Linked DNA regions of Macaca fascicularis. The protein of the gene in region 2 purifies or fractionates together with the protein of the main gene of each other region. This does not show direct contact. Links are inferred from orthologs where the notes say so. Each region holds a gene or a part of one and is shown on either strand. Other genes may lie near its edges.

Region 1 (4,081 bases), on a different chromosome or scaffold from region 2:
CAACAGTTGCAATGAGGCACATGACTATGATTTTTTAAAAATACAAGTATAAACCTATCACTGTTACCTCAGAAAACAAATCTGTGCAATGTTATCCTCAGGTTTTGTGATCTTGGCAAATCAATTTCTCATATTCAGAAAATTTAACAAATGCATAAATATGCATACACACAATATAGATCACCTAACTTATTTATTGAGCAACTTCTAAGTTGAGAGAAAAGCTAGTCTCTGGTAGACATGTAAGATTATCGATGCCTTTTACAAGGGCTTTATAATCCAACTGAAGAAAATAAGGCAAGTTTAACAATGTGACTGGATTTTACATGGTTACCAAATGAGTATAGATGCCAAGTTCTTCATCAAAGATGTACAGACAGTGAGGTACACACAATACCCAGGTGTAAGAAATAGTATTTTATAAGCAGTCAGCAAAGGAAAAGTCTCAAGCCACATGAATAGAAACTAAAAGGCTGAAATCAAGTAGGGTTAAGTAGTTTATTTTGAAAGTTTAAGTACCGTTCTTAAAGATAACTGGTGCTCATTTTCATCATTATCCACCTTAAAGTGATAATCTTTGTCGGCCTTTAGTTCACAACCTGTAAATGAAGAAAAAAGCAACTCTAACAAGGAGAAAAATAACACTGAAACTTAAGTGTGGGTAACCAAAAAGGTCAGGTCTAACTTTTGAACTAGTTTTCACAATTTTAGCTACCAGAGGGCAAAGCAGAATGATCAATTCCTAGATTTCTTGAACAGAAACCTCTACAAACAAGTAACACCCATAGAAGTCTACAATTCTATCTTCTCCTCATACCATATTTCATCTCTAACTACGCTGATAGGCACTGTTATTCTGCATACAGAAACGAGCTCAACGGTTTAGTAAATCTGAACCTAAAACAATTACCTGAAACCAAATGTAATGTCCAATGTTAAGTTTCCCACTATTTAAAACAGCTGATTTACCCACCTAAATTCCCAAATGGAAAGTTCGAAATGAGAACGGTTACAAACATGAATAGCTTACTATTACAAAAGAAAAACGACAAAGGTAAAAGAACCAAAGCTTGCTACAGGGGTCAACACTCTACTCTTTAAAGCAACAGAAAGTGACATACGCCTGAAACTATATTCAGAAACTATGTTTAAGACAAGGAGGGTTGTTTCCAACAGTTATCAAAAAGTACTGATATAAATTTATCAGAATTCTCAGTTATCCAAAACAGCTAGGAATTAAAGCCTTAATGTTTTAAATACATGTGTCTACTGCCACTCCATCCATGCATGGGCAAAATTCTTTAAAATACTGTCAGAATAAAAATTTTAAATAATTCCATTAACTACCATCTAACTGTTACCAATACATATACATGCTTAAATGTGAAGAGGTTTAATTAACAAATCTCAGCACGGATAATGAACAAGATAAAATTCACGGTAGGATTCGCACTTACTTCAAAGTCTGAATAGTATAAAGATTAGGCTTCTGTAATTAAACCTACTGACATTAAAAACCCAAGTGGGACTCTCCTTTTTGGGGCAGGGCTACCGCAAGTCGAAGGTGGTGGTGGTCCCAAAATTCTGCGAATAGTTTTAGGTCTTGATCTGACTCAAATCGAACACTCTACGTGTTTCTTGTATTTAAATAAGCGGTTTGGTCAATGCTGCACAAATGGCGGCATGCGAGGACGTCCCCCTAAAACGAAGCCTCATTAATATTCACGAAGCAGCAGCTACGAGTCAAGGGTCTTGGTTTAGTTTTAGCCTCTTTGCCTATAAGTACAACCTTCGTTAAGTGAGTTAATCTCTGGGCACCAGTGCCGTCATCTGCAAAGTGGGGCTAGCTCCAGCTACTGCAGTGAGACAGAAAAGGGGCTCAAAAAAAAAGAGCTGCCATCACAGTAGATGCTGTAAGCACTGAACAAAGGCCTCCAGAATCCTAGTGTTACCAGCCTCTTAACATTTCCCACTTCAACTGAGCCACAGCATCCCTTGATCTGGAGTAACAACATGCTGGTGAGCCCCGGATGTAGTGCCCACACCCCCCTCCCTCCCCCAACCACGTGGCAACCACGTGCTCCCAGCGGTTGCGGCCTCCTCACGCCGCGCCGCGCCTCCCCTCCCCCAGTAACTGGCCGAAGCACGCGAGTGAAGTCTGGGTCCGGCAGCTCCAGACTCAGGTCAGAACAACGCCAGGCTGTGCATCTACCCTCTCCAACAAGCAGGCCCATGCTTCCCGGTAAACCCAGCCTCCGGGACCACCAACCCGGGGCCTGGGATCAGAAGCCTACGAACGAACTCCGTTAGAAAATAAACCACGCCTGGGGCTCCGCGGCGTATCCCCGGCAACGGCCGAACTTCCAGGCGGCCAGTTCCGCTACACCTCAGGCCCTGGGCCTCGGACTGCTCACGCTCCAGGCGCTTCAGGCCGCTCGTCTCCTCCCCCTTCACGCCTCCGGCTCCCCCCGCGGCTCCAATCCCACCAGGTCCAGGGCTCGGGCAGCTCTTCCCACCCGCTCAGGCCTCCAGCCGGTCTGGCGGTCTCCACCAGACCCTGCTGCAGCCGGATTCCCTCCCCTCACCCCCGCCTTCACCGCCACCAGGCCCCGCTCGGCCTCGCTCCAGCTCCCCCCTGCAGTTACCGAAAAGATAGTTCTGGGGCCTCAGGGGGCTCATGTCCATGTCCATCGAATCTTCCATCAGGTGGCGGCACGCACTTAGGTGGGAGAGAAGGCGGACGGAGATAAACCAACGCTGCTCCAGAGAACAGCCGCGCAGGACGGAATCACACCAGGGAAAGGACGCAAGCTCCCCGCGCTTATATATAGCCCCTGAAGATCTCGCGAGCGCTTCTCAAGTCCCGCCTCCGCGCGCGTGCTCCGGAGCCTTCCCACCCCCGTACCGTAGCTCTCCTGCGCAAGCGCTCTTCAACCACACTCCTTTCTACCTCGCCCCCCACCTCCTTCCAGGTACTCCGCGGGCTCCCACCGAGCACGCGCACTCGTACACTGGCCCCACCCCTCCACCGCTGTCGCCTGTGCGCACGCGTGCTTTCCAGTCGTAACGCGCGCTCCCCACCTCCAACACTTCCACGTCCTCTCCCGCTCAAGCGCTCCGGCCTCCCGCCAAGAGTCTGCGTAGCCCACCCTGCAAAATGGCGTCGGCAGCTCTTAGCTGTGTTAGATATGGCGGGTTGTTAGCTGGCTGGGAATGAGCCGGAGAGCACCTCGATTCACTTCCCCCATACCCTAGTGCCTTGCAAACCTCCAAACAGGCGTAATCATTTCAGGATTTTTTTTTACTTGCCTGAAGGCTTGGGATCGCAGTTAATCGTTACCCCAAAGTTCAGGTGCCGGAGAGTGAATTGCGGCTTATTCTTTGTTAGGAAGGAAAGATGTAGCTACCGGCCAGGCTTACGGAACTGTGTTTTTACAGTTCTGCCCTTCCTGAGAAAACATCTCCAAAGTCCTCATCTTTATGTAATTTGGGGGCCTAAAGGGGACTGAATCAGTCTCCAAATGAGCAAGGACATCGCCCTAAGAGAGCTCGGAGGGTGGGCAGACTCTTGACTTCTTGCCGCTCTTAATCTTTAGGATTCCTCCTGAAAGAAAGCGAGTGACTTATAAGAACTACAGAAGCCTTAATCGAATATTTGGTAGCGAGTATGGGAATTAACATTTTAAGCTACACGTTGACAAACTCCGAGGTACCCCAGCAGCCCCGGGCATTGGGGCGTTCTGAAGACCCATAATTTTTTTTTTAGCCTCAACATATCAAATTTAAGAAGTGAAGAATATAAATGATAGCCTCAGAAAGGAAGACCCCCCCACCCCAAGGCATTATTTCTTACAAGAAAATTATACAGACGATTTCAGCATCCATCAAAAGAGGAATGAACAGTTAAATTATAACATATCCATAATATGCGTTAGTTTTGACACATACTAACGCATAATATGGATATGTTATAATTTAACTCTTCCTTTCTGAGAGCGCCTGTGTCACATAAAGCTTTGAGTCACTAAATTTGTTATGTTTTTTTTTCTTTTTTTTTTTTTGTGGAGAGAGTCTTGCAGTG
Region 2 (3,518 bases):
CAGAGTTAACATATCTCTTGTTCTTATACTTCCTAGTTGCATAACTTTAGATAAGTCATTTCACCTCTCTGAGCCCTCCTTGTTTCATCTGTGAAAATAATATAGTTAATACAATAATTAATAACATAGTTAATACTAATAGCTAACACATATTGAGTTCTTACTATGTAGCAGGAACTAATGTTTCATGTTTGTCAATTTATAAATAAGGCTTTAGGTCAAACATCCTCTCCAAGTAATTGTGACCTGATACCTGACTGTAGGCCGTTTAACTCAAGAACCACTGCAGAACACCATGCAGCACTGCCTCTTCAGCTTAGCTCCCAGAGCCTATGAAAACGAAATAATCGGTATTTAGCTAACTTGTATCGAGTACTCATATGCTTCAGGCCCTCGTTTAACCCTCCCTTGGAAGATATTAACTCATTTATCTTATAACCACCCTAGAAAGTATTTTTATCCTTATCTCACAGGCCTTAAAATGGCCTCAACAAGTAAAATTGCTGAAGCACCAACAGTGGCACAGTCAGGATTGGAACCTAGGCAGTGTAACTGCAGAGCCTGGCGGAGAGTGTAACTGCAGAGTGTAGCGTAGTTTCAGCATTGTACTAGACTAGGTTCTGTAACTGCAGAACCCCGGAGCTCCAAGTCAGCTAGCTCGCTAGGGTCGGTGCACACCTGCGCCCACTCGGGGCAGCTTCATTGCCAGAGCCACTGACTCCCAAAACAAAACCAATCTTCTACAATTAGCATCTGTGGGATGTTATGTTTCTCGTGCCACAACTAGGAACCCTGAAAGCAAATTATGACTCCGGTGAAACAATTTGGCCCTAAGAAGGGTGATTGTCTAAACATCTTCACAACGGATTTACACAGAAATTGTAACATGCACTTGATTGGAAACCCACACCACAGGCAGTCCCAGGAATTTGTACCCGCCCTGGTCCTGGACCGCCCCGCCGGATTGCGCCCCAAGACTGTCCCCGGACCACCATCCTAACACCACACCCTGAACTGCCCGCCCAGGACCGCCCCCTAGACCGCCCCCCAGGACCGCCCTCTCTAGACCGACAGCGAGACTGTCCCAGGACCGCCCCCTGGACCGCCCCCGCGCCCCGCTGCATCCTGGGAATCGTAGTCCCAATCCTGCTCTGGAACGAGTAGTGCTGGCTGCTGGCGCCAGCTCCGCCTCTATCAGGCGTCAGCCTAAGGTGCCGCTTCTAATCCTATCATCTCTCCATACCGCCCTCTGCCGGCCTTTCCTCTGGTTGCCCGGATGGCGAGCCGGTTCCGGGCGCTCCGGAAGCGAACCTTTCTTTTCCGGATTGGGCATCCCGGCGTCTGCACGTGGTTATGTTGCCGGAGTTTGGGCCGCCGCTGTAGGAAAAGTAACTTCAGCTGCAGCCCCAAAGCGAGTGAGCCGAGCCGGAGCCATGGAGGGCCAGAGCGTGGAGGAGCTGCTGGCAAAGGCAGAGCAGGACGAGGCAGAGAAGTTGCAACGCATCACGGTGCACAAGGAGCTGGAGCTGGAGTTTGACCTGGGCAACCTCCTGGCTTCGGACCGGAACCCCCCGATTGGACTGCGGTGCGCCGGACCCACGCCGGAGGCCGAGCTGCGGGCCCTGGCGCGGGACAATACGCAATTGCTCATCAACCAGCTGTGGCAGCTGCCCACGGAGCGCGTGGAAGAGACGATAGTGGCGCGGCTGCCGGAGCCCACCACACGCCTGCCGCGAGAGAAGCCTCTGCCCCGGCCGCGGCCACTTACACGCTGGCAGCAGTTCGCGCGCCTCAAGGGCATCCGTCCCAAGAAGAAGACCAACCTGGTGTGGGACGAGGTGAGCAGCCAGTGGCGGCGGCGCTGGGGCTACCAGCGCGCCCGGGACGACACCAAGGAATGGCTGATTGAGGTGCCCGGCAATGCCGACCCCTTGGAGGACCAGTTCGCCAAGCGTATTCAGGCCAAGAAAGAACGAGTGGCCAAGAACGAGCTGAACCGGCTGCGTAACCTGGCCCGCGCGCACAAGATGCAGCTGCCCAGCGCGGCCGGCTTGCACCCTACCGGACACCAGAGTAAGGAGGAGCTGGGCCGCGCTATGCAGGTGGCCAAGGTCTCCACCGCCTCTGTGGGGCGCTTCCAGGAGCGCCTCCCCAAGGAGAAGGCGCCCCGGGGCTCCGGCAAGAAGAGGAAGTTTCAACCCCTTTTCGGGGACTTTGCAGCCGAGAAAAAGAACCAGTTGGAGCTGCTTCGTGTGATGAACAGCAAAAAGCCTCAGCTGGATGTGACAAGAGCCACCAATAAGCAGATGAGGGAGGAGGACCAGGAGGAGGCCGCCAAGAGGAGGAAAATGAGCCAGAAGGGCAAGAGAAAGGGAGGCCGGCAGGGACCTGGGGGCAAGAGGAAAGGGGGGCCGCCCAGCCAGGGAGGGAAGAGGAAAGGGAGCTTGGGAGGCAAGATGAATTCCGGGCCGCGTGGCTTGGGTGACAAGAGAAAAGGAGGACAGCGCCCAGGAGGAACGAGGAGGAAGTAATAGTTTCTCACCGTCGGACCCGACTGAAAACCAAGGACTATAAATACTAAGTGTTAAGTTCTAGGTACTTGTACGGGGACTCAGAAGGACCTGGCCGCTGCCTTCATTGAGTTTAAAGGGACAGGATTGCCCTTCCCTCAAGAGAGTATGTAAGTGTTGGACTGCAGAAATTAATGTTTTTCCCACAACCGAGACTTTGGCTGGAGATTAAGAACTTATTTGAGGATTTAAGAATTAGGGAAATAATTTGGTGGAAACCAGGAATGAGTTCTATTCTTAAACAGCCTTTTTTATTTTTAACTTTGGATATAGGGTGAGGTAGAGTTGGCCATATTTCACACTTAAATTGACGTATATGTTTCTGCATTATTTTTACAACAAGCTTGTGTATCAGAGCGGGGGGTGCGGGGAAGGGAAAGAAAACAGTTTCAGAATTGGATAGGCAAGTGACTGTTTTAAAGGTTAAGTAATAAAGATGTCTTATCTAGTGTGGCTTTTAACTTTCTGACTATTGGGTAGAAATTGTACATGAAGCCAGTTACCGGGATACCTGGTACAGATTATTTTTGTTTACTTTCTAAAAAACACAAAGCAGGCCGGGCGCAGTGGCTCACTCCTATAGAGTCCCAGCACTTTGGGAGGCAGAGGCAGGCGGATCACCTGAGGTCAGGAGTTTGACACCAGCCTGGCCAACACAGTGAAACCCCATCTCTACTAAAAATTAAAAAATTAGCCGGACATGGTGGCTGGTACCTGTAGTCTCAGCTACTTGGGAGGCTGAGGCAGGAGGATCGTTTGAACCTGGGAGGCAGAGGTTGCAGTGAGCCCAGATCACGCCACTGCACTCCACTCCAGCCTGGGCAACAGAGGGACCTCAAAAAAAAAAAAAAGCAATTAAATTATAATAGTTTCAGTGAGACCACTTTTAAACTTATACTTCTTTTGGTATCAAATATAATATTCAAAGTAGTAAAACCAATGGCTGTT
Region 3 (4,223 bases), on a different chromosome or scaffold from region 2:
GTGCTACTGCACTCCAGCCCGGGCGACAGAGCGAGACTCCGTCTCAAACAAAACAAAACAACAACCAAAAAAACCCTGAATAGAATGAAATAGAAAATCAGCAAATCACACAAAACAAGTTTAAATATTGTCTCATATGGCTTTTATTTCAGTTATGCTTACATGTATGTGTATGTGTGCTGGTTTGTGCTATGAAACTTTTTTTGAAAACCCTCATCTTCTCTGTGATGGTAAAAACTTACTTCTTATTGTGAGCCAGTCTGCAAAATGCTCTTCTAGAAAAATCTGTCTATACCTGCACAAAGATTGTTCCTAGCAGCTTCATGTAAAGAGTTAAAAATAGTAAAAAACCTAATGTTCAGGCTAGGCACAGTGGCTCGCTCACACTTGTAATTCCAGCACCTTCGGAGGCCGAGGTGGGCGGATCACCTGAGGTCAGGAGTTTGAGACCAGCCTGGCCAAAACATGGTGAAACACGGTTTCTACTGAAAATATAAAAATTAGCCAGGTGCAGTGGCCAGTACCTGTAATCTCAGCCACTTAGGAGGATGAGGCAGGAGAATCACTTGAATGTGGAGGCAGAGGTTGCAGTGAGCTGAGATCGTACCACTGCACTACAGCTGCCTGGTGACAAGAGTGAGATTGTCTCAAAAAAAAAAAAAACCCCAAAACAAAACCTAATGTTCAATAGGAGCGTGGATAAACTTTAGTTACCTAAGTAACAAGCAATGATGATAACAAAGGCACTAGAGTTACACGGATAAAGCTCAGATTATTGAGTAAAAAAATTCAGCTGAAGAATGATAGAAATAATTTTAAAATAATACTATATGTACATTTATATATGTACACACGTGTTGTAGCACATATATATATAGATACAGTAAAAACTTATAAACATATATAGCAATGAAAACTGAATTTGTGGCCAGGAGCGATGGCTCACGCCTGTAATCCCAGCACTCTGGGTGGCTGAGGTGGGAGGATCACAAGGTCAGGAGTTCGAGAACAGCCTGGCCAACTAATGAAACCCCGTCTCTACTAAAAACACAAAAAAAATGTAGCCAGGTGTGGTGGCAGGTGCCTATAATCCCAGCTACTTGGGAGGGTGAGGCAAGGAGAATCGCTTGAACCTGGGAGGCGGAGGTCGCAGTGAGCTGAGATCGCACCACTGCACTCCAGTGCAAGCTTCTGTCTCAAAAAAAAGAAAACGGAATTTGTGAATTTAATTCCCTAATTAAAGGAGAAGGTGAAGAACACTGGGAAGGGTACAAAAGGGACCTCAATTCTACCTATAATCTGTATCTTTAGGACAACTAACAGATGATGGATGCACACCCTATCCCCTAGATGCTAAATCAAATAGGTGCCTATGGCTACAACCCAAGTTTATGTGCCGGGATTCTATGTTTCAGATTCTAAACCTCCACTCTTCTTTTTGGAATGAAATCTGATAAGAGTATGTGAACGTGCTCTTTAATGTCAAGAATCACACACATTTGAAAAACAAAACGTCAAATCCAACTTTAAAAATCTTACCCTTTTACTTCTGGACAGTCTGAATCGTGTCACAGTGCCAAACTGGGAGAAATACGAAAAGATCTGGGTTTCGTTAAGTAGGTTAGGTAGGTGGCCCACATAGACTACTCCAGAAGTAAGTCGTTCTTGTTTTTTCCGCTGAAGACATAAAGACCAGGTAAATTAAATATTTTTTAAAATAAGAAAATCACATTGTAACAAAACTTACAAAACCCCTAGCCCTAGGCCCAAGAACCTACTCCGCATTTCCACTTACCACAGTAGTAATTAAAGAAGTGGCTGTTGAGTGTCTCTCTCCCCACAAAGGCCATGGCCAAGCAGTAATCAACTATCTTTCCAGCCTGGCATCCCAGCACCCAGTATAATGTTAGTGCTCAATAACTATGTCAATCAACGGATAAGCAAGGACATCTTCGAACAAGCCATTTTGGATCTTCTGCCCAGAGAACTCTACATAAATATAGCCTTCAATTTTGTATGCATATTACTGTTTACTCGCATTTCATCGAAAAATTTTCGAGACGCTTGCTAACTCTCACAATACAGATTAGCCTTTCAGCGTCTCAACCATCATACCCTTACCTCTGTAACAAGAACTTCTAAGTTTTCCTGTGTAGTTTATGCTAAAAACCACAGAAAGTATAAGCGATGTCAGGGGCCCTGGTCAGCAAGCGGAACCTGGCAACTACTCTATTTTAATAACTCCCAGATCACCAACCCGGCATACAAACCTCCCGAATGTGTTAAGTCTGGGGCCCCCGTTTTCGGGGGGAACGCGGAAGCGTGACAGGTCTAACCCGGAGACAACCTGTGGTATGGGAACCTATTCCCTCCAGGTGGTTCCCTCCGCGGCTTCCGTCACCCCAATACTTCCCCCTTACCCTCCACATGAAGGCTCCAAGGCCTCAGCGGCCAAACCTCTCCATCATTTACCCACCAGCGTAAACCCTTTAGTCTCAGAAACCGTGGCCTGCAAGCTTAAGAGGTGGGTCCCTGATTCGGTCAAATCCGCTAAGGATACTCTGGAAGGCGTGCGCGAAGGCAAGGGGAGTCCGGGCGGGGAACCGCGCAACCCCGGATACCCCCTAGACCCTGTCCGTCGCCCCCGCTCGCAGCCTGGACCAGGGTGCCTGCTCACCTGGGTTATGCGCTTGCGAACCTGCGCCACCTCCTTTTGAAACTCGGCATCTTCCTGCGGGTTAAGCGACAGGATCGGCCCAGCTGGGCCAGAAAAAGCCGCCATGCCAAAAGCGGCCAACACTAACTCCACGCGGCGCTCCCGGAAACGACGGGCTCCCAGCTCCCCTGAGGCGGAAGTAGAGGCAGGACAGGGGCGTGGCGAAGCGCGGAGGCGAGGCGTGGCGAGGGGTGGGGAGGGCCATGAGTCGCGCGCGGGGTTGGAGCAGGAGTAGCACGGAGAAGCGGGGGTGGGGCACGAGGCGCGGGGCGCGGGACGCGGGACGGGGCATAAATTGTGCCGTGGTGCGAGGGCGGGGCACGAGGCCTGGCGAGGGGCGGGGAGAGGCATGAGTCGCGCGGAGGCGCGGCACCGGGCGTGAGTTGTGCCGAGGCGGGGGTGGGGAGTGGGGCGGGACGGGGGTGGGGTGGGGACAGGGGTGGGGGTGGAGACGGGGGGGGGTGGACAGAGCGGTGCGGGGCAGGGGGGCCCCGGGGCGGGGGGGAGTGGGGTCTGGGGCTGGGCTGGGGATAGTTTCCGCGCCCTCCGCTGTAGGGGCGCCGATTGGCTTGGCTTAAGAGTGCCTGAAACAATTACCTTCACGCCTACTTAGAAAGGCGGTCTACAATTATAAAACAGTACTGGTGCCCGAGATGCTGCTCACATTCCTCAATTTGCTTATTATTATTTTCGAAACAGTTTCCGCTCTGGTTGCCCCAGCTGCAGTGAAATGGCTCAATCTGAGCTGACTGCAACTTCTGCCTTCAGAGTTCAAGTGATTCTCCTGCCTCAGTCTCCCGAGTAGCTGGGATTACTGGCGCCCGCACCACGCCCCACTGGCTTATTTTTAGTAGAAATGGGGTTTCACCATGTTGGTCAGGCTGGTCTCGAAGTCCTGACCTCAGGTGATCTACCCGCCTCAACCTCCCAAAGTGCTGGGATAACAGGTGTGAGCCACCGTGCCCAGCCCTAATTTGGTTATTTCACTCACTAGTGTGTGAGCCCCTCCTGTGTGGAGACCCCTAGAGAATTTACAGCCTGGGGCAGCATGGCTGCTTTGAGAGATGAAAGAACCTCGTGGGGGAGAGGCACACTGGGTGACGCAGGAGGGTCCCCCTTAGGAGGTGGTGTTGGCAGCGAAGCCTGAAGGCTAAGGAGCAGGGTCTGGAGAACTGAGGCCCTGCCATCTGCTGGATCAGACAGGCCTACACATGTGTTCCTAGGTATAGAAAGAAGGACCCAGCAGTGGGGTTGGAGCCCAGCGTAGGAGGGAAGAGCTGCGAGGGGGCAGGCTGGAGTCCCATGGCTCTGTGTGTCAAAGTATGAAACTGGGGTTTTGTTGTAAATGCGAGGGGGTGGTTGGGTTTTAAGCGAGGCTGTGGCTGTTTACACCTTTTTTGTCCAGAACTGGTGGATTCTTGGTCTCCCTGACTTCAGGAATGAAGCCACAGACCCTCGTGGTGAGTGTTACAGTTCTTAAAGATGGTGTGTCCAGAGTTTGTTCCTT
Region 4 (4,050 bases), on a different chromosome or scaffold from region 2:
GAAACAAACAAGAAAGGAGAAGCAGCAGCTTCTTCCACTGCACTCCCAGTGGAATTAGATGGATTTGTGGAAGTCCGTTTCCATCCCCCATCATCCCGCTTCCTAGCTCTCTCTGAAGTCCGTCCTCACCTGGAGTTCTTCAATCTTGGACAGATAATATTGGCGGAGTCCGCTGCCTGCCTTCCCCTCCTCCAGTTCCATCTGAAGACACAGAGTGAGTCTTAAACGACAGGTTAAACATCCGAGGGGATAAAGCCACTTGCAGGGCACTTTGAATAAGGTTTGACACCAGGTAGCTTTGCGTAGTAAAAAAAGTTTGGACTTCGGAGGCTCAGCATCTGGGTTCTAATCCCTCCCTCCCTGGGAACCCTCCATTTTCCCACGACTAAAATAAAAAAATGGGAACGCCGCCTACCTTGTACGACTTTTAGGAGGACCGAGAGGCGATATGATATACACGGGGGCGCTTTGCACTGCGTGAAGCGCTCTACAAGCCCGAGGTGTCGTTACTGCCGACGGAGCAAGCGGAACGGAGCCGAAGGACTGGCGTCCCGTCTCCTGCGACCCGTGGGCCGGCCGTTCCCGCGCCCATCGCTCCCCTCACTCACTCCGCTTCTACCGCGTATTCCTCTCCCAGCCTTGCCCTGACTCACCGAGGGCGGCGCTGACACAGCAGATCCAGTCGCAGGCAGCGTCCAGCCTGGACTACTCCAGCCACCTCCGACCCACCCAACCCTCCTGCCCCGGCCCGCTCTCCACTTAGATTACGCTCGCTCCGCACCCAGCCCCGTAACCTGCCGGGCCGCCACTGCAGCCGCCATACCTGCTCTGGCCCGTCAAGCGCCATCTTCTCTCTTCAGCAGAGACCGCCGGCATCCGAGTCCCCTTTGCGCGCAGGCGCGGAAGCGGAGGCTTGTGACCTGAAGACCAGGCAGAGAAGAGTTCCGGGTCAATGGGCGGGGTGCGCGGCCAGACCACACTAACTAAGGGGACCATGATGGGAGGGGCGGCTACGAGAGTTCAGGGGCTTTGGAGGGGGAAGAGGAAGGAGCAGAACTCCTCAATGTTGCCTCATTGAAACTATGTTTGTAGTTCTTGTAATGTGCCTTCCTAGTCTCAACTTTCAACTTACAAAATCCGAGGACAGAGTACCGAGAACAATCTATGGCCACACTCAAAATGGCGGAAAACCTCGAGCCAGGGACGCAAGCGGAAGCGGAAGTACGTTTGCTGCATACATGTGCGGTTCCGAGTGTGGAGAAAGCGGCCGTGGGTCTAGGTAGAGTGTGCGGAGAGGGGAGCGGAGTGGAATTGCTGCGGGAAGTGGGAAACTGAAAGAGGAATCTGGTGATCCGGAAAGAGACGTCCTCAACTTCTACTTTCTCCCCAGATTGAGCGATACTCCCCCATTCCACCATGGGCAAGAAGGGCAAAGTTGGCAAGAGCCGACGGGACAAGTTTTATCACTTGGCGAAGGAGACGGGTGAGTCCAGATTCGCTCAGTCTGCGTGCGAGCGAGCGAGCGATCTCTGCCCGGTTCGCCTGCTCTTTCTGACCATTGTGTACCTCTCCTGCAGAAGGGGTAGTGGGTTGCGAGGCTGGAGAAATCCTGCTGGTGATGGTGAAGCCCTCTGCGCACTTGGTTGTTTTGTCCAGGTTACCGTTCCCGATCTGCTTTCAAGCTGATCCAGCTCAATCGCCGCTTTCAGTTCCTGCAGAAAGCCCGAGCCTTGCTGGACCTGTGTGCTGCGCCAGGGGGATGGTTCGTAACACTTGCCACAGGTTGCTCCTGGTGGCCGCTTTCTGTGTTCTGAGCTGCGATGGTTTCCAGTTTCATTGCGGGAGAGGAATCCCGAATCCCGGTCCCCTTGGAGGCCGTTTCCTTTCTTGACTGCAGAGAAAGGACTTGGAATACGTGCCTATGATATGTTCTGGCCAGTGCACGTAACACCAGGGATGAGAGGTCAGTTGCCAAGAGGGGGACAAGGATGGCTGTAGGTTTTTAAATTCCTATTCCTTTTATAGGCTGCAGGTAGCTGCCAAGTTTATGCCTGTATCCAGCCTTATTGTGGGTGAGTAACGGACAGCTCTCCTTGATGTTTTAAGGGGTCGGTGTATAAAGTACTTTGTCCTGTATTTCTCTCCTCCCTGCTTGAGGCAACCCTTTAGAATACTCTGACCTGATTTATTCCAGGAGTGGACCTGGTTCCAATCAAGCCTCTCCCCAATGTGGTGACTCTCCAGGAGGACATCACAACAGAACGTTGTAGGCAGGTAATAGGAGTCTTTCTCTTCCTTCCCCCTTTATACGGAAACATCCACATCCCTGAAATCCTCTAAAGGCAATTTTTTTCTATTTACCATGCTTTGAGCACATTCTTGCCTGACATTTGTACAAGACCCATGGTATTCGTAGTGCCCACTCCAACCTTTATTTAGAGTCAGGGATAAAGGTGTTTGGAATTGGGAGAAGGGCAGAGATCTTTAGTGAAGTTTTTTCCTGTGAACTCACTGTCAGACTGTAAGCTCCATGAAGGTAGAGACATACTGTTTTTGTTTACTATTGTTATCTCCTGTGCCTGGTAGAGCATTTGGCCCATAATGGGCACTCAACAAATAACGGGATGGACAAATGGTTGAACCAGGGCCATTCCTGTGTTTGTGTTTCCATAGTTCCTTTTCTTTTTAGGCCCTGAGGAAGGAGCTGAAGACCTGGAAGGTTGATGTTGTGCTCAATGATGGGGCCCCCAATGTGGGGGCTAGCTGGGTCCATGATGCTTACTCACAAGGTACAGGGAGTGTGGTGTTTGGAGATCAGGCAATGGTGGAGTTGGGTGCATGCCCTCCTGGGCTGCAGTGCCTCAACTAATTGTCTCTATCCTACAGCCCATTTGACACTGATGGCTCTGCGTTTGGCCTGTGACTTTTTGGCCCGGGGTGGCTGCTTCATCACAAAGGTTTTCCGTTCTCGTGACTATCAGCCTTTGCTATGGATCTTTCAGCAGCTGTTCCGCCGTGTCCAGGCCACCAAGCCCCAAGCCTCTCGCCACGAATCTGCAGAGATCTTTGTAGTCTGCCAAGGTGGGCATCATTTCCTTTCTCTTGATCCAGCCTCCCAACTCCCAAAGCACACTTTTTAATATATCTTGTCATTTTTAGGATTCCTGGCCCCTGACAAGGTTGACAGTAAATTCTTCGACCCCAAATTTGCCTTCAAGGAGGTTGAAGTTCAGGCTAAGACTGTTACTGAATTGGTGACTAAGAAGAAGCCAAAGGTGTGTTTTGGGGAATGGGGCCACCCTTGGGTCCTGGAACTCTGGAGAGGTTGGGCCTGGTGGGTCCTACAGATACCCAGAAGGGACTGCCCAATCTTCTCTCTTTTTCTCCCTAAGGCTGAAGGCTATGCTGAGGGCGACCTCACTCTTTATCACCGTACCTCAGTCACTGACTTCCTCCGAGCTGCCAACCCTGTCGACTTCCTGTCTAAGGCCAGCGAAGTGAGTCTCCAGCCTTGAGGGACATGAGGTAGCCCCGGAAACATGGCCTGAGAATCTCCCGACACCTTTCCCTCCTCCCAAACAGATCATGGTAGATGATGAAGAGTTGGCACAGCATCCAGCTACCACTGAAGACATACGGGTGTGCTGTCAGGACATCAGAGTGTTGGGGCGCAAGGAGCTCAGGTATGCAGCGGGGTGGGCATGGGGGCCAGGAGCCCTGGAGGCGGGAAAGGCCATGATGTTAGATCTCTGGGAAGAGGATATTGCTGTGCTAAAGGTTTGGGGTAGGGGCCTGAGCCTTTTGGTTTATGTAGCTGAAACCTGAAAAGGTGGATAGTGAGCCTAAAACAAGGGGGCAGGGACAAAGCGGGAGATGGCAAGATCAGTAATAGTATCTCTGGGGCAGGTTGCTACTAAACTGGAGAACAAAACTTCGGCGATATGTGGCCAAGAAGCTGAAAGAACAAGCAAAGGCACTGGACATCAGGTGAGGAGGGAACGCAGCCAGGCAGGTGTGGACGGGGTGTCCAGGGAAAGAGCCCAGGAAAAT
Region 5 (4,185 bases), on a different chromosome or scaffold from region 2:
AGAATAGCCTTAGCCTTGGCCCCATCCATTGTCAGCTCCTCCAGCTTCTCCAGCTTTTCCTCATTCAGTTCCCTTCGGTTTCCAATAAACTGGGCAAGACGGCAGTATGTGGCATTGTCGTTGATGATCTTCACCAGCTCCGGAAAGTGATACCCATACCACTCCCTGCAAAGAGCCACAGTCACTCCCTGGCCCAGCTGCTTCATCAAAAACCATAGAGCTACAAATCTTCATTCTATGTTCCCCCATTCACAATACAGACCAGGCACAGGGCCTGAGCTGAGGTGTATATAGGGTAGGTTTACTCTACCTCCTCTTTCTATACAGTCAGTGTAAGAACACAGCCTGTGGTAAGCACCAGGAGGCCTAGACCCAGCCCCAGTCCACATAGTTCTACCCACAGGATGGTCAGTCCTCATCAAGACTCAAAATTAGCTAAACTACAGACCAAAGGCTCCAGTATTATGGGTGGCCCCTGCACTTTACCTGACACGCATAGAGAAGGTATTGATGTCCTTATCCAGCTGGTCCAGGAGGCTAATGGACTGGATGATCATATTGTCCACTCGGTTCACATTAAACTTAACTTTGGCACGGGAATAGCTGTGTCCCAGCCCCAGCTGTGCTTTACAAGCTGACAGATCAGTCAGACCCTTCACCAGATTGTGGAAGTGCAGACGAACTCCTAAGAAGAGGGCAGGACGGTGAGCAACAAGGGGCTCTGAGCTAGCTCCCGCACCCATGGGCACCAGCCAAGTCCAAGGCCTTCCCAGAAGTCACAACAAGCACCCACGTTTCCAGAACCTCCTCCCCGAAAATGTCAAGGATAACATGAATATAACAGATGATGGTCTCACCTCGCAGGATCTCAGCTATGACGCCTCCAGTCTGGCAGTTGTACCCTAACTCCTCCTGTATTGCAGCACCAATCTTGGGATCCCCAACTCCCAAGAGTACTTTCTTCTTTTTGGATGGCAGGTGGGTCTCCAAGAGCAGGCGGAGGTCCTCATGAACAACCCCTCAGAGGAAAGAACACAGTTCCCACTCACAGGCTGAAGGATGATCAATTCTAACATCTCCTCAGCTGATTACCCTGCTTCCACGGAGCATGCTGGGATGGCATACCTAGACCCCTCCCCATCAGGCATTGCTCAGAGACATGGAGACATCAGTGACTGCACTCAGGGGATTGACAGATTTGATTCGCAAGTCATCACTGCAAAGCCTGGCCCAGCCATGGGAACAACTGCACTCAGGTCTGATAGCACAATCGTGCAATAAATAATAGCTTGTAACACACCCTTGAGTATTTAGTAGAATTTGCCTTCTGGAACCAAACCTTTTTTTCTTAGCCTGTGTTTATCCAACCGCCCTTTCCAAGCAAATAGCAGAAAACTAGACACCTGATTGTGTTTAGGCAAAAAACTCAGGCACAGGTAGGTGTTAAGCCAACCCCCTTTAAGAAACCCCCTTTGTCAAGCCGGGCACGGTGGCTCGCGCCTGTAATCTCAGCACTTTGGGAGGCCGAGGCGGGGGATCACGAGATCAGGAGATCGAGACCATCCTGGCCAACATGGTGAAACCCCGTCTCTATTAAAAACACAAAATTAGCCGGGTGTGGTGGCTGGCACACGCCTGTAATCCCCGTTACTCGGGAGGTTGAGGCAGAAGAATCGCGTGAACCAGGGAGGCGGAGGTTGCAGTCAGCCCAGATCGTGCCACTGCACTCCAGCCTGGAGGGCAGAGACTCTGTCTCAAAAAATAAATAATCTGTCACTACAGTGCCCACAAGGAAACGTAACACACATCCCACATCATCTGCTTTCAACAGTTTGGTCCATCACAGTTCCCAGATCTTGAGCTCTGTGAAGACAATTATTTCAAATTACACAGTTATGTCTCAAATACTGCCTCACACCTATCAGACTCACAGCCGGCCAAGGACGGCAAATACTATCACAAGCTGCCCGAGAGGATACCAGAAGGAACCACATCTCCCTGTGATACTTGGTGGTGGCCGACTCACCTTCAGACACGGCGTTCGCATTTTCCAAGGCAACCTGGGACGAGGCAAAGGGACAAAAGGCCACCAGACGAACGATGTTGTGGAATTTGCCCAAGTTGAGCACGGACTCCTCCACCTAGCGGGGGAGAAAGAGGCTGAGTGGTTTCCTTCCCTCCCTCCTGCCTCTGCGGCGCATAAAGCAGCGGTTCTCAGCCTTGGAAGCTCTTAAAATATGCTGACAGCGGGACCCCACAACCCAGCTTCTGCTTTAATCGTTCCGGCGCGGGGTCCGGGAGGCTTATTTCTAACTGCTAGAGCGATTCTTCCCATGAGTCAAGGTAAAGACCCCCGGATCTAGAGCTTTCCAGGCCCGCCCCCCGCCCCGAACCTCTCGGCCGGCCACGTGGGAGCGCGCGCTGCATGCTGGGACCTGCGCGGTGAGGGTCTGCGAGGCCGCCTGAGGAGCCCATGGATCTCACCCACCTGCGGCTGCAGCAGACTGATCTCCTCCACTTCCTTCAGTGCCAGCAGCGCGTAGCCGACCGCATGCTCAAATAGCACGTGCAACAGTACCTGGAACGGGAGCCGGGGCGCTAGCGTCAGCTCAACCTCCGCGTCTGCCGGAACCCGCTCCGAGAGCAGGCGCAGGCCCAGGCCCAGGCCCAGGCCCAGGCCCAGGCCCAGGCCCAGGCTCTGTCTGAAGCGCGAACCCAGACCGAAGCCCCCACCTTCGCGTCGCCCGCGCCCCACAACCACTCCTCACCATGGCGCCTGCTCCCGGGTTCGGCTCGCAATGCGGCTAGCGCGCTCCGGCGCGCGGAACCAGGCTCCAGAGGCCCCGCCCCCGCCCCGCAGACCAATCGGAGGCCGGGGACGACACCATCTCCCGGCCTTTAGAGGGGCCGCCCGGGGTGGTATCGCCCGGAGCGCGGGCTGGGTGGCGCCGAGCGCGGGCGAGCAGGCCTTCTCTGGCCTCTGCAGCTGCGTGGGCGGGCGCGGTTGCCGGGGACGCGCGGCCCGGAGTCGGGCCTTGCTGGCAGCGAAAAGACATGGGTAGGCCCTTTCGGTATAATAGTCCAGTTCCAGATGTTCTTGTCATATAAGTTGCGGGCAGCAGAGATGGGTGAAGTCGGGGTGGGAGGCTCCGCGTAGGGCACGGCGTCCATCCCAGAGACCGCTGCCTAGCCGGCTGCCCGCTGCGCCCGTGGCCTCGGGCCCCAGACCCTGCGCCCCAAGTCCCCGGGACCCATCCGTTCCCGTCCCCTACTCGGGGACGAGCCTCCCCAGCGCTGGGTGGGCCGTGCATCCTTTCCTCCCACCCGGAACGGGAGCGTTTCCTTGCGCGCTTTGGCGCAGACCCTGCTGGGAACGTGGCTTGCGCAGCTTTCTTCGTACTACTAATTTTATTTATTATTTTTTAAAATGACGGTGTCAGGCAGTGACGTGCGAAAGAAAGACGCTCCAGCGTCCTCCTAGGCCAGTTTCTTGTTGCTGTGCTGCACGGGACCCAGCTTCTTTTGCTGGCCACGTGTTGCTCCTCCGCTTGAGCGGCCCTGAATTCTGGGCACCGGCGAGCGCCAAGTGAATCGGAGCTCCTTCCCTGTCCTCGAGGGCGTCTTTTGGGCTCTCAGGCGACTATTTAGAAATGAGTTTTGCTTTAATAATTAATATTAACGTTATAAATCCAAAACCTAGTTATGCTTAAGTAGCATATCCCCTGATATATTTTAAAGAGTCATTCGAAGGGGATTTTTAAAAATGCTGTATAGCTATAAACTACATTTATACATTTAATTGTTATTTTGTTAATCGATTGAGTTACTTGACAAAATCCAAGTACATAGTTCACTCACAAATCTAATATGTCAAACCTAAAAAATATGGCCGGTAAATCTTACTCACATAATTTTAATATAGTTTACAGATGTGGTTGAATTCTGTTACACATGTCGACTTAACGAATCTGAATCGTTATTCCATTTAACATTTTAAAATGGAATTGCAAAATTAATCCATACATTAGCATGTTGAATTATTTTTACCGTCATCAATACATAAAATTAGACGATTCCAAAATGTAATGGAAAATATTAATGCTAAGACTTCAATTTACTTCGTTATTTCTGTCCTTAATCCTGAATTTTCCTGGGATTACAGGTGCTTATTCACTAAACCAGGGG

Evidence for each region. The genes of interacting proteins can lie anywhere in the genome.
Region 1: the proteins of RRS1 (region 2) and NPM1 purify together in Homo sapiens (affinity purification with mass spectrometry; 3 studies listed by BioGRID and IntAct, counting the BioPlex papers as one, with this or other methods). This does not show direct contact. The link is inferred for Macaca fascicularis from reciprocal best matches to the Homo sapiens genes RRS1 and NPM1.
Region 3: the proteins of RRS1 (region 2) and NIFK purify together in Homo sapiens (affinity purification with mass spectrometry; 3 studies listed by BioGRID and IntAct, counting the BioPlex papers as one, with this or other methods). This does not show direct contact. The link is inferred for Macaca fascicularis from reciprocal best matches to the Homo sapiens genes RRS1 and NIFK.
Region 4: the proteins of RRS1 (region 2) and FTSJ3 purify together in Homo sapiens (affinity purification with mass spectrometry; 3 studies listed by BioGRID and IntAct, counting the BioPlex papers as one, with this or other methods). This does not show direct contact. The link is inferred for Macaca fascicularis from reciprocal best matches to the Homo sapiens genes RRS1 and FTSJ3.
Region 5: the proteins of RRS1 (region 2) and NOP56 purify together in Homo sapiens (co-immunoprecipitation; 3 studies listed by BioGRID and IntAct, with this or other methods). This does not show direct contact. The link is inferred for Macaca fascicularis from reciprocal best matches to the Homo sapiens genes RRS1 and NOP56.

Annotation. Positions count from the first base shown.
Region 1 is NC_088380.1:178,182,412-178,186,492, reverse strand, and holds the start of NPM1 (nucleophosmin), read right to left. Parts: upstream 2,801-4,081; 5' UTR 2,704-2,800; coding exon 2,646-2,703; intron 600-2,645; coding exon 520-599; intron 1-519. UniProt on the Homo sapiens protein: Involved in diverse cellular processes such as ribosome biogenesis, centrosome duplication, protein chaperoning, histone assembly, cell proliferation, and regulation of tumor suppressors p53/TP53 and ARF.
Region 2 is NC_088382.1:76,416,385-76,419,902, forward strand, and holds RRS1 (ribosome biogenesis regulatory protein homolog), read left to right. Parts: upstream 1-1,315; 5' UTR 1,316-1,433; coding exon 1,434-2,531; 3' UTR 2,532-3,018; downstream 3,019-3,518. UniProt on the Homo sapiens protein: Involved in ribosomal large subunit assembly. May regulate the localization of the 5S RNP/5S ribonucleoprotein particle to the nucleolus.
Region 3 is NC_088386.1:10,002,854-10,007,076, reverse strand, and holds the start of NIFK (MKI67 FHA domain-interacting nucleolar phosphoprotein), read right to left. Parts: upstream 2,801-4,223; 5' UTR 2,783-2,800; coding exon 2,678-2,782; intron 1,678-2,677; coding exon 1,540-1,677; intron 1-1,539.
Region 4 is NC_088390.1:70,331,232-70,335,281, reverse strand, and holds the start of FTSJ3 (pre-rRNA 2'-O-ribose RNA methyltransferase FTSJ3), read left to right. Parts: upstream 1-1,250; 5' UTR 1,251-1,279; intron 1,280-1,390; 5' UTR 1,391-1,416; coding exon 1,417-1,483; intron 1,484-1,656; coding exon 1,657-1,762; intron 1,763-2,025; coding exon 2,026-2,072; intron 2,073-2,194; coding exon 2,195-2,274; intron 2,275-2,689; coding exon 2,690-2,789; intron 2,790-2,886; coding exon 2,887-3,081; intron 3,082-3,159; coding exon 3,160-3,275; intron 3,276-3,392; coding exon 3,393-3,497; intron 3,498-3,582; coding exon 3,583-3,683; intron 3,684-3,906; coding exon 3,907-3,987; intron 3,988-4,050. Other genes in the region: PSMC5 (26S proteasome regulatory subunit 8), read right to left, coding at 130-220, 824-876.
Region 5 is NC_088384.1:84,652,073-84,656,257, forward strand, and holds the start of NOP56 (nucleolar protein 56), read right to left. Parts: upstream 2,801-4,185; 5' UTR 2,772-2,800; coding exon 2,769-2,771; intron 2,579-2,768; coding exon 2,489-2,578; intron 2,142-2,488; coding exon 2,027-2,141; intron 1,223-2,026; exon of another isoform or gene 1,148-1,222; intron 1,020-1,147; coding exon 858-1,019; intron 686-857; coding exon 487-685; intron 368-486; exon of another isoform or gene 236-367; intron 166-235; coding exon 1-165. UniProt on the Homo sapiens protein: Involved in the early to middle stages of 60S ribosomal subunit biogenesis. Required for the biogenesis of box C/D snoRNAs such U3, U8 and U14 snoRNAs. Part of the small subunit (SSU) processome, first precursor of the small eukaryotic ribosomal subunit.